3 linked regions of the Ovis aries genome follow. The protein of the gene in region 1 binds, or shares a complex with, the protein of each later gene. Links are inferred from orthologs where the notes say so. Each region holds a gene or a part of one and is shown in the gene's direction. Other genes may lie near its edges.

The links.
Region 2: IQCG (region 1) and DRC7 share a complex: the UniProt entries of both Homo sapiens proteins name them as parts of the nexin-dynein regulatory complex. The link is inferred for Ovis aries from reciprocal best matches to the Homo sapiens genes DRC9 and DRC7.
Region 3: IQCG (region 1) and CCDC153 share a complex: the UniProt entries of both Homo sapiens proteins name them as parts of the nexin-dynein regulatory complex. The link is inferred for Ovis aries from reciprocal best matches to the Homo sapiens genes DRC9 and DRC12.

What each region holds. Positions count from the first base shown.
Region 1 is NC_056054.1:191,034,542-191,038,194, forward strand, and holds part of IQCG (dynein regulatory complex protein 9), read left to right. Parts: intron 1-1,350; coding exon 1,351-1,621; intron 1,622-3,653. UniProt on the Homo sapiens protein: Component of the nexin-dynein regulatory complex (N-DRC), a key regulator of ciliary/flagellar motility which maintains the alignment and integrity of the distal axoneme and regulates microtubule sliding in motile axonemes.
Region 2 is NC_056067.1:25,289,654-25,292,247, forward strand, and holds the end of DRC7 (dynein regulatory complex subunit 7), read left to right. Parts: intron 1-254; coding exon 255-449; intron 450-1,303; coding exon 1,304-1,443; intron 1,444-1,714; coding exon 1,715-1,808; 3' UTR 1,809-2,003; downstream 2,004-2,594. UniProt on the Homo sapiens protein: Component of the nexin-dynein regulatory complex (N-DRC) a key regulator of ciliary/flagellar motility which maintains the alignment and integrity of the distal axoneme and regulates microtubule sliding in motile axonemes.
Region 3 is NC_056068.1:29,498,790-29,502,912, reverse strand, and holds the start of CCDC153 (coiled-coil domain-containing protein 153), read left to right. Parts: upstream 1-1,241; 5' UTR 1,242-1,465; intron 1,466-1,584; 5' UTR 1,585-1,596; coding exon 1,597-1,666; exon of another isoform or gene 1,667-1,951; coding exon of another isoform or gene 1,952-1,991; intron 1,992-2,064; exon of another isoform or gene 2,065-2,069; coding exon 2,070-2,135; intron 2,136-2,504; coding exon 2,505-2,648; intron 2,649-3,186; coding exon 3,187-3,435; intron 3,436-4,123. UniProt on the Homo sapiens protein: Component of the nexin-dynein regulatory complex (N-DRC), a key regulator of ciliary/flagellar motility which maintains the alignment and integrity of the distal axoneme and regulates microtubule sliding in motile axonemes.

The sequences.
Region 1 (3,653 bases):
GGGCGAGATAACCTTTACCTTGGCTTATTTACTGCAGCTAAGACTTTGTTTTGGGAACTTCCTTATCAACTTAGAATCCGTTTTGTCCCAAGGTCTGTTCCTTTTGAGGAATCAGAGAAACATCCTTGTGTGCAAGCAATGTTCTTTTCCCATGGGAACAAATAGGATTTTTAGCTGAACATCTCATTTGCAAGAATGCTCAGCCCTGGTTGACAGTCTCGTTAGCAAGCACTTCTCAATCTTCCTTAAACCTAGTTCCCTACACTGGGCAGAACATCTCGTTTGCAAAAATGTCCAGCCCTGGTTGAGAGTCTCGTTTGCAAGCACTTCTCAACCTTCTTTAAACCTAGTTCCCTACAGATTCTCCAGGCAAGAATACTGAAGTGGGGTGCCATTTCCTTTTCCAGGGGATCTTCCCTACCCAGGGATCGAACCAGCACCTCTTATGTCTCCTGCATTGGCAGGTGGGTTCTTTACCACAGGAGTCACCTGGGAAGCTAATCAAGGGAAAGTGAAAATGAAAAGTAGCCCAGTCCTGTCTGACTCTGCAACCCCATGGACTATACAGTTCATGGAATTCTCCAGGCCAGAATACTGGAGTGGGTAGCCTTTCCCTTCTCCAGGGGACCTTCCCAAATCAGGGACAGAACCCAGGTCTCCCACATTGCAGGTGGATTCTTTAGTAACTAAGTTATCAGGGAAGCCCAATCAATTCATCTTGCCAAATCACCAGAGGCAAGATGAAAGGGACAAGAGAAGCTCATCAAGATTAGAAGACCCACCACCTAAAATGAGATTAAGGAAGTGCAAGCTCTGCCCACACTCTAATCTTGTTAGAGACCCCACATTTGACCCTCATCAAATTCTCTAGGGTTGGGACTCTTGGTTTTTTGAGACAGAACATGGTTTTAGGTTCCTCTTTGCCTGGTAGAGCAATAAAGCTAGCTATCCTTTTCTCCACCCCAAACTCTGTCTCCAGGATTTGATTTGGCACCCGGTGTACAGAGAGGCTCAGCTTTCAGTTAACATAACCATGAGACAATTTTGGTTAGCATCTGAAAATGTTGCTAGAAAAAAAGTGTATTTGGCTCAAGTTCAAATTGGTTGAGCATAGTCAAATAGCAGAGGGTCCACATCTTTAATAAACAGTGAGTTGCTTTTCTCTGGGAAGTCGGAATGTTACTGGGGGTTATTAAGCAGAATCATCTGCAAAGTACTTCCATTCATTCTCTTGAGTATATGGCAAAATGGACTTTACAGGAACCCATCTACATGCTGCCTGTGTTTTTGGATTTAAGTGATTTTAAACATCTGATGGTTGACTTATTTTTTCCTTCCTTCTTTCTTTAGAGGTCAACTGGAAGCCTCAAATCTTCCTCCAGAAGATTGGCCTTCTGAAGTGACGGTGTCAGTGACAGGAGAACCACCTAATACTTCTGTAGAAGAAAAGGAAGAAACAGATAAAGAAGCAGTCATAGAAATCAGCCCAGAAATCATGAAGCCGCTATCCATTCTAGACGTGCTGAGGATCTCTGCAGTTCTGGAGGACACCACAGACCAGCTCTCCATTCTAAACTATATCATGCCAGTTCAGTATGAAAAAAGACAAAGCATCAGCATGGTATATATATTCACCATTACTTAATTTTTGCTTTCTCTTTATTTCTCCATCATTTGCAGTACCTATGCCATTCAATTCAACTTGGGCAATAGCACCTTCTAGTCAGGTAAAGGGCTACAGTAATTATCTAAGATATGTACTCTCAGCTAATGGAGTGAAATAGACATAGTTCACGGTACATCTCACAAAATATCCTTTTCTCCTGATATGTTGGCGTTATTCTAAAAAGTCCATAGATAAGTCAGTATAAATACAATATATATACTGAGGAGATAAATAATTGTGTTTTCTTGTCTTGTATTGGTATTTGTCAGCTGGCAACCCACCCCAGTATTCTTGCCTAGAGAATCCCCATGGACAGAGGAGCCTGGCGGGCTATAGTTCATGGGGTTGCAAAGAGTTGGACTGAGCGATTAAGCACAACAGCACAAAAGCTAACTGAACACCAGGGGGAGGAAATTCAACTGGACCCTGTCAACATTTCTTTTATCTAAAATGACTTTGTCATTGCGAAATATGTTGCAGTCTGCTTTTCTCAATATCCAGCTGCATTATTGCACTAGCCATTACATTTTCCATGATGTTATGGATTCCTCCCTCAAAGCACCACTGAGTTATCAAAAAACTCAACTTGATAGTGAGCAAAATCTTTCATAAATTCTTAAGCCCTTAAACCAGAAACAATTTTTAAGTACAAATTTTATTACATTTTATTTTAAGTACATATTTATTAAGTTTAACACAATTATATAATTTGTACAGATTATATCTGATTCTGTGATAAATGCAACTTGCTATAAAAATGAGAGGGTAAATTAATTTTCATGTCTAATAGAAAAGAAGCCCATATTTACTGTGACTAGAAAATTAAATTTCCTTCTAATTGCCCCTTACAATTTTATAATTATTATTATTATTATTACTACTGCTATATGTATAAACGGGATTCACAAAACTTTTATTAGGGTTTTAAAAGTGGATTTGAAGTTACAGGATCATTATGGTTGAATTGTGCAATAAGCAATTCATTTCACTTTCTCAGTCTTAGTTTTCTCATTTATGAATTGTGGTGGAGTTTTAACTAAATGAGCCCTTCTAATACTAACATTCTATGAGTTTTAGGGTGATTTTAAAACATTAATGGGTATTATAGGAATTTTGCAACAAATTAGTTTCCTTATTAATTTATGAAAAGCAAAGACATCTGGAAACCCAAGAACTAAACCTTTCAGTGCACTTAAAATTAGTCTAATTCTTAAATTGTTTGTTAACAGATAGTACAGAAGAGACACTAACCTCACTAAATATCTTCAGTTAACAAGATAAAGTTTTCTCAATGATATTTACGTCAGGCTTTAAAAAGGGTACTTTTCCATCATAGAAACTCAAGAGAGAAAGAAAAACACAAATTTATAAACAACATTCAGTAGTGGTCACCATTCCAGTACATAAAAGAACAAAACTTCTCCAGTTTTAATCTGGTTTATGATCTTCACCCACAAAATTTTCTGACATGACAGAGAGAGGCCCTCCTTATGATTTTATAGAAATATAAACAGTAAAGGTTTATACTCTTATTCTGATTAATAGAGCTTAAAAGCCCCTTTCAGAATATGTTAGTTATATAACTTTTACGAATGTGACTCTTTAAAATAATTTTTCATTTTATAGTATTATAGTTGTTCTAACTCATAAATTTTTACAGTACCATTGCCCTGCATAAGATAAATATTTAAAAACCTTATGGTACTGATGTGGATGTTTTCCTTCTTTAAAAGCTTCACATTGTTGAGCTTTACAGTAACAACACTGGGATGAAAATTTAGTTAGCATTGTCCCTCTTCCACAACCATTTTTATAGCTAAAGAATCATGGAATGGAATTATGAAAAACACACTAATGTACTAAGTTCTACCAGAAGTAGGAGTAATTGATCTGAACTTTGGAAAGAGCTCCCTTGCAGGGAATACTGTTCTTATTTTTTCCCTTAGAATCTAACACCCTCCCGTACAAGGAGGTGAATGGACCAGAA
Region 2 (2,594 bases), on another chromosome or scaffold:
TTTATTACCATTTATCGAGTGAGCATCTGCTGAGTGATAGGTATGTACTGAGGCTCGAGTGGAGATGTGTGAACTCACAGACACCAGAGTTGGCTGTCACCAATAACCATGAACTCAGGAGACAGCACAGAGCCCTCTGAGGCCTCAAGCACAGAGGGTTTGGGGCCCGGTTCTGTGTGGTCATATCTCCATAGAGCTGTCTGGGGGGTGTCTGCGGCCCCTGCTGGTCCAGCCGACCCTCAGTCCCCTTACAGGAGCGCGTGCTACACGAGGAGCACCTGCGACAGGTGGAGGCCCAGCTGGACTACCTGGCCCCATTCCTGGCCCAGCTCCCGCCTGGGGAGAAGCTCACGCGCTGGCAGGCCGTGCGCCTCAAGGAGGAGTGCCTCAATGACTTCAAGCAGCGGCTCATTGACAAAGCCAACCTCATCCAGGCCCGGTTTGAAAAGGTGCAGCCGGGGCCCTGGCAGGGGTGGGGACCTCGGCATCCTTCACCGGAAAACTAGCCCAGGGCTGTTGGCTCACCATCTCATAGACTTGTGAGGGACTAACGGGTGGAAGGGGAGGAGGTCAGTGCCTGGTGTGTCCAAAGGACCAAGCTGTCCTTCCTCATCCTTGTTTATTGGGTTGAAGGGTGGATGGAGAGGTGGATGAGTGAACAGAGGGATGGAGGCGTGGATGGCTGGAGCATTATAACAACTCCTATAGTTTTTGACCCATTTCTGTTGGTCAGGTACACACCGTGTAGTTCCCCTGCATTATCTTATTTAATCTTCACAAACGGCTCTATGGTGGTGCGGGTGGGGGTGAGTGCAATGACCCTCATTTTGCAGATGACAGATTGGAAGCTCTGAAAATGTACTTTGACCAGAGTCACATGGCTCTCAGTCCTAACTCCTGCTCTAACCTCGTGGACATGTTGTTGTTTAGTCGCTAAGTTGTGTCTGACTCTTTCTAACCCCATGGACTGTGCAGCCCACCAGGGTCCTCTGTCCATGGGATTTCCCAGGCAAGAATACTAGAGTGGGTTCCCATTTCCTTCTCCAGGCAATCTTCCCCAGTCAGGGGTCGAACCCTCGTCTCCTCTATTGGCAGGCTGATTCTTTACCACTGAGCCACCTGGGAAGTCCTTGTGGACATATAGCCCTCTAACAAGGCCCCAGGTTTTCTGCCTCTGCTTCTCTCGCTTCTATGAGAAGGGGTGACGGGGCTGACCTTGTGGGGCTGTCTGATGCCCTGTGCAGGAGCGGGGTCAGCCTGCAATTTGGGTCAGCCCTCCTGCTCTCCTTCCCCGTGCCCACAGGAGACTCAAGAGCTGCAGAAGAAGCAGCAGTGGTATCAGGAGAATCAGGTGACCCTGACACCTGAGGATGAAGACTTATACCTGAGTTACTGCTCTCAGGCCATGTTCCGCATCCGTATCCTGGAGCAGCGGCTCAGCCGGTGAGGAGGCAGGGGTGGCGGGAGCCAAGAGGACCCACAAGGATGTTGGAGCATCAGCTTTTGTTTTTTTGGTTGTGCTGGGTCCTCATTGCGGTGCATAGGCAGAAGCGGTTGTGGCACGCAGGCTTAACTGCCCTGCGGCATGTGGGCTCTCAGTTCCCTGACCAGAGATCCAACCCATGTCCCCTGCAATGGAAGAAGGATTCTTAACCACTGGACCACCAGGGAAGTCTCAAAGTACCAGCTTTGTAAACCCTCCCTCTGATTTCAGACACAAGGAGCTGGCCCCACTGAAGTACTTGGCTCTGGAGGAAAAGCTCTACAAGGACCCACGCCTGGTGGAGTTACTTAAAGTCTTTGTTTGATGCTCTTCACCCCCTACACCTGTGGTCCTCTGAGTCCCTCCTGAGGCCCCAGCAAAGCTGCCAGAGAAAGAAACCTCCCCCAAAGCCTGGCCCTTGTGTTCCCTATGCCCAGCTAATGACCATCCACTCAGGCACACTACTTTCCTGCTTTTCCTAATTTACCTATAAATAAACACTTGCCATTTGCCACGTGTACCTCATGTTTCACAGACTCCAGCAGCAGCCCTTTTCTCCTTCTCTTCTTTATCTGTGGCCTGGGACCACCTTTACAGTCTTATCTTATTTAATACAGCAACTGCATCCCCATTTCACACATGGCTAATTAGTGGCTGCTAAGAAGAGGCGCTGGAATTCAGTCTCTTGCAGCCTAGCGTCAAGAAGCCAAGTTCTGGGGCACACACCGTAGGCTTGCCATTCCCACTTTGTGAGCTGGGCCACCCCAGCCATGGTGGGGGTGCAAGACCCTCAGTTTGCAGACAAGAAACTGGAAGCTCTGAAATGTACCGGATCCAGAGCTACATGGCTGTCTCAGCCTTAACCCCGGGTCTGACTTCATAAGCATTATATCCCTTTAAACAAGATCCCAGTGGCTTTCTCCCAAGACATGTGTGTGACCCCTGCCTCTGCTCCTCTGACTTCTGTGGGTAGCGGCTCTTCCCAAAGCCCACCCCACCCGAGTCCCAAATGAAGTCGGCCTTTATCGGGTTCCAAATCCAAATTGGTGGTCCCCCTCAAGCTGCAGCGCACTCATCCATTCATCGAGGCCGTGGGGGTAGCACGCACGGG
Region 3 (4,123 bases), on another chromosome or scaffold:
TTTCCAACTATTCGTGACTCCAGCAAGATGCTAGGCAGCACCCCTAAATGAGGGGTGCCCCCAACATTGCTCCATAAATAATTTAAATAGAAAAATTCAGGAGACTTACTAGAAGGTCAAGAAAATCCACTAGAGGGAGCCCAAATCAACTCAATGCCACAGGGAACCAAGCTGGTTATTTTCTCAGCACCTGTCTGAAAATCAACCACAGACAGGAATAGGGAGAAAGAGGAAATATATTAAGTCACCATAAAAGAAGATAGTCCTGTAAATACCTGGTGAAAATCCAAGCCTTTCAAGATTTACAAAATCAAAGATTTAGGAAACTGAGGCTGAGCAAGGAAAATGACTTACCCAAATTTACATATCTGGAGAAGGGTAAGGATGAGAACTCAAAAGCTCCTGTCTCTAACCAGTACCCTTTCTTCTTGATTTGCATCTATGTCAGGATAGAAGGGCATCGCAACCCACTCCAGTATTCTTATCTGGAGAATCCAATGGACAGAGGAGCCTGGAGGGCTACAGTCCATGGGGTCACAAGAGGTTGCAAGAGTCGAACACGACTGAGGTGACTTAGCACAGCACCTTGAGGTCCTAGGTCGAACTCTCCTCTGTGTCTCATTTATCTGAAATAGGAAACTCTCTCAACCACCATCTCCTGAATTTCTTTCCCTCATTCACCGTAGAATACCTTCCTGAAATCTTCAATTTTAAGCCTATTTAATAATGTCATTTTGTTGATGAGACTTTGGGAAATGTAAATCACCCCAAATGGCTACCGTGAGTTCTTTTCCTCTGTATCAGCGCAATAGCATTATTTTGGATGTGTAAATCTATAATTTGTAAGTGTCCAAATTGCAGGCAGTGCTACATAGAAGTGAATCATATTTAATCAGTTCCAAAGCCCTCTCTCCTCAAACTACACTTAGGATCTGGGGACAAGAAGAGTATTGGCCCTCTGAGACCTTGGTATTTTAAGCATTGTATTTAGCCCCTTCTACCAGACACAATTATAACGACTGAGCAAGCATGCATGTACCTTCCTAACAGCTCCATGTTTCCCAGTTGCCTGGACAACGTGCAGCCTCCAGAAGCCCAACCTTCCAGTTCTCAGTCCCACCCCCAAATGAAATTTGCCACTCTGGATTGGGTCCCAGAACACAATCTCCTCCTCCGGCTCCTAGCTGGTTGGGCCTTTTCTCTGCCCCTCCTGGAAAGTGGGTCACGCCACAGGGAGATACAACAGAGACAAGTGAGGGTCTTGGAGGAAGGAAGAGGCAGGGTAAGGATGATGGGAAGAGAGAAGGGGCCAGGTACTGAGCTTTATTTTCTCTGAAAGAGGGTTGAGAGGAATGATTTCTGTACTTAGAGCTTGACTGGTAGAGAGAAATGGGTTCATCCTTCCCCCTGGCCCCAGCCTTGCCTAAGTTTCCAAGGAAACCAAGAACTGAAGCTTCTGGAAAGTGTAAGAGACAGACTTGGAGATGAGAGCACTAATTCTCCTGGGACTCCTGGTTCCGTCTAGGGAGTCAGGAGAGTGTCTCCATGTCCAGACCTAAATATGAGCCCCCTCCCTCCCTCCAGGACAGGAAGGAGATGCCACCTAAGACCAAAGAAAAAGGGACAAAAGCTGGGGCCCAGAAGAAGAAAAGAAATGCAGGTGCTGGTGAGTCAGACTGGGTGGAGGTGGGTGCCTCCCAGCCTCTCCTTGTTCTGGCTCAGAGACCTCCAGAGAGAATTCATCCCTCTGCGTGACAAGATGGAGCTGTCTTGGCCTTCCCCCTTTATATCCATATTCGGGTGCCATGGAGCTGGGAACATGGGAAAATCAGCACCCATGAATCCCTTCTGGCTGTGTGCCTTCCTTGTATATTCATTACAATCTTTCAAATACCTACTGTGAGCTGGGTAGTGAACTCATTAGGCTTTGCTATCAGAGATCCCTCATTTAATGGTCCTTGTATCTCCCACAAAAAAAAGAGAAGTCCAGGGTATGGGAGGAGGGTGGGAGGAGGGTAGGGAAGGCTGAGATCCTGACAAGCTGAGGGTCTGCTGTCTTGCCAGGGCAGATGTGGAGGCTGAATCCATGCACAGGCTGGCACTGCTGGAAAAGGAGGTGCTCCAAGACCGCTTGGGTAAGAAGGGTAGAAGTTCGGCAACAGAGACAGTGGGCATTTGTGTATCCCTGGGAGCTTAAAGTTTTGGAACAATGGTGGAGGGCTGAGCTGATCTCTAACCATCCCCTAATGGGAAAAGATTGTCAAGAGCTGGGGTCATGAGGACAGGGTGGGCCGTGAGGGTTGATAAAGAAAGCTAACTTTTATAGCTGGAACACAGAGGGAGTTTTTCCCTCTTAGTAACAGAGTCTGTAGGATTCTGAGGCGGGGAAGGGAAACAGAATGACGATGAGAGACTGGCAGGCTGCCGCCAGGTTTCTGAAGGTGGACAGAGTCCATCAAGGCCATGGGGGCTGATTGATTGAGTGGAGCCCCCAACCAGTGCAGAGGGCTGCTCTGGACTGTTCACAGCTCTGCAGAGGGATGAAGCCCGCCGAGCCAAGGCTTCGGAAGACCAGCTGAAGCAGAGGATCAAAGACCTGGAGGCTGAACTGGAGGGGGCCCGGAGCGAAGGGAAGGCCATATATGCAGGTGTGAGGTTGATCGAGCAGGTGGGCGGGAGACAGGGGCCCGGAAGAGGACAACTGGGAGGGCCCAAGGATGCTAGAAAGGGAGACAAGGAGGACTTCGAACCGCCATACCTAGCCTCAGCCCTCCCTGCACCCACAGGAATCCTGAGGGGGCCTTCTGTGGTCTTGGGCAGGAACCTTCCGTGACATGCAGTGCTTTGTGCTTGATGTCCCGTGGACTATGAAACGCAGCCCTAGCCTTTATCTCACTCCTCCCGTGGGAGTGGGTGGGAAGGAGGGCCTGAATTCACATACTGAGCTACCATAGCGGATGGGTGTCTTATTTCCTAGCTCTGTCCCTACCTTCTCAGATCACCACAAGAATCCAGAAGACTTTTTTTTTTTAAGATTTTTTTTTTTTTAATGTGGACCATTTTTAAAGTCTTTATTGGATTTGTTACAATATTGCTTCTGTTTTATGCTTTGGTTTTTTGGCTCTGAGGAATATGGGATCTTAGCTTCCAGATCAGGGATCAAATCCGCGTCCCCTGCATTGGTAGGTGAAGTCTTAACCACTGGACTGCCAGGGAAGGCCCTCAACAGACCTTTATGCACTTGTCCACTGGACCAAGCAGAGCCCTCCCCACCCACAACTTCTGTCCTTTCTCCACTGCTCTCTCCCCATCTGGGTCCCTGGCCACCCACGGCTCTGCCAGAGATGAGTCGTCAGTGCCGGAGCCTGCAGGAGGCGATGCAGAGTCGCACCAGGAAGCTGGAGGAAGAAGTGAAGGGCCTGCAGGAGCAGTTAGGTAGGCTTCCCAGGTGGCCCTAGTGGTAAAGAACCCGCCCGCCAATGCAGGAGACTTAAAAGATGTGGGCTCCATCCCTGGGTCGGGAAGATCCCTTGGAGGAGGGCATGGCAACTCACTCTGTAATCTTGCCTGAAGAATCCCATGGGCAGAGGAGCCTGGATAGCCCCATTCCATGGGGTCACAAAGAGTCAAGCACTAACCGAGTTAGCACGCACACACAGCACACCCTGCCCTCACAGCACTTTCTCTCAGAGGATCACACTGATGTAGTCCAGCCTGAAGGGGTGGAGTTAGAATGGTCTTTCTTTAGAAAACTGCAATTTAAGCTCTCATACTGTCTTCCCCCACTGACTCTTCTACTACTTGCAACAGAAGGTTCAGGATAGCAAAAAATACCCAATCTTAACCTTTTAGTTATAAATGAAGAAGCCCTAACTTTCTCACTGCACCTCCCTCTCTCAATGGTCTCTCTAAAGACAGTTCTTACTCCCCACTGCCCACATGTCTCTCACGAGCAAAACACAGTCTCTCTTAGTTTGGCTGATGTTTAGAATGAAAGCAAGCTTGAATATAACTGTTTGAATTACTTACCTCCGTATCTTCAAGACCTAATGTGTGGTAGGTCCTGAATAACTATTTGCTAATAAATAAATGAGCTTCTAAATAAGCAACAAAGCAAAACAAA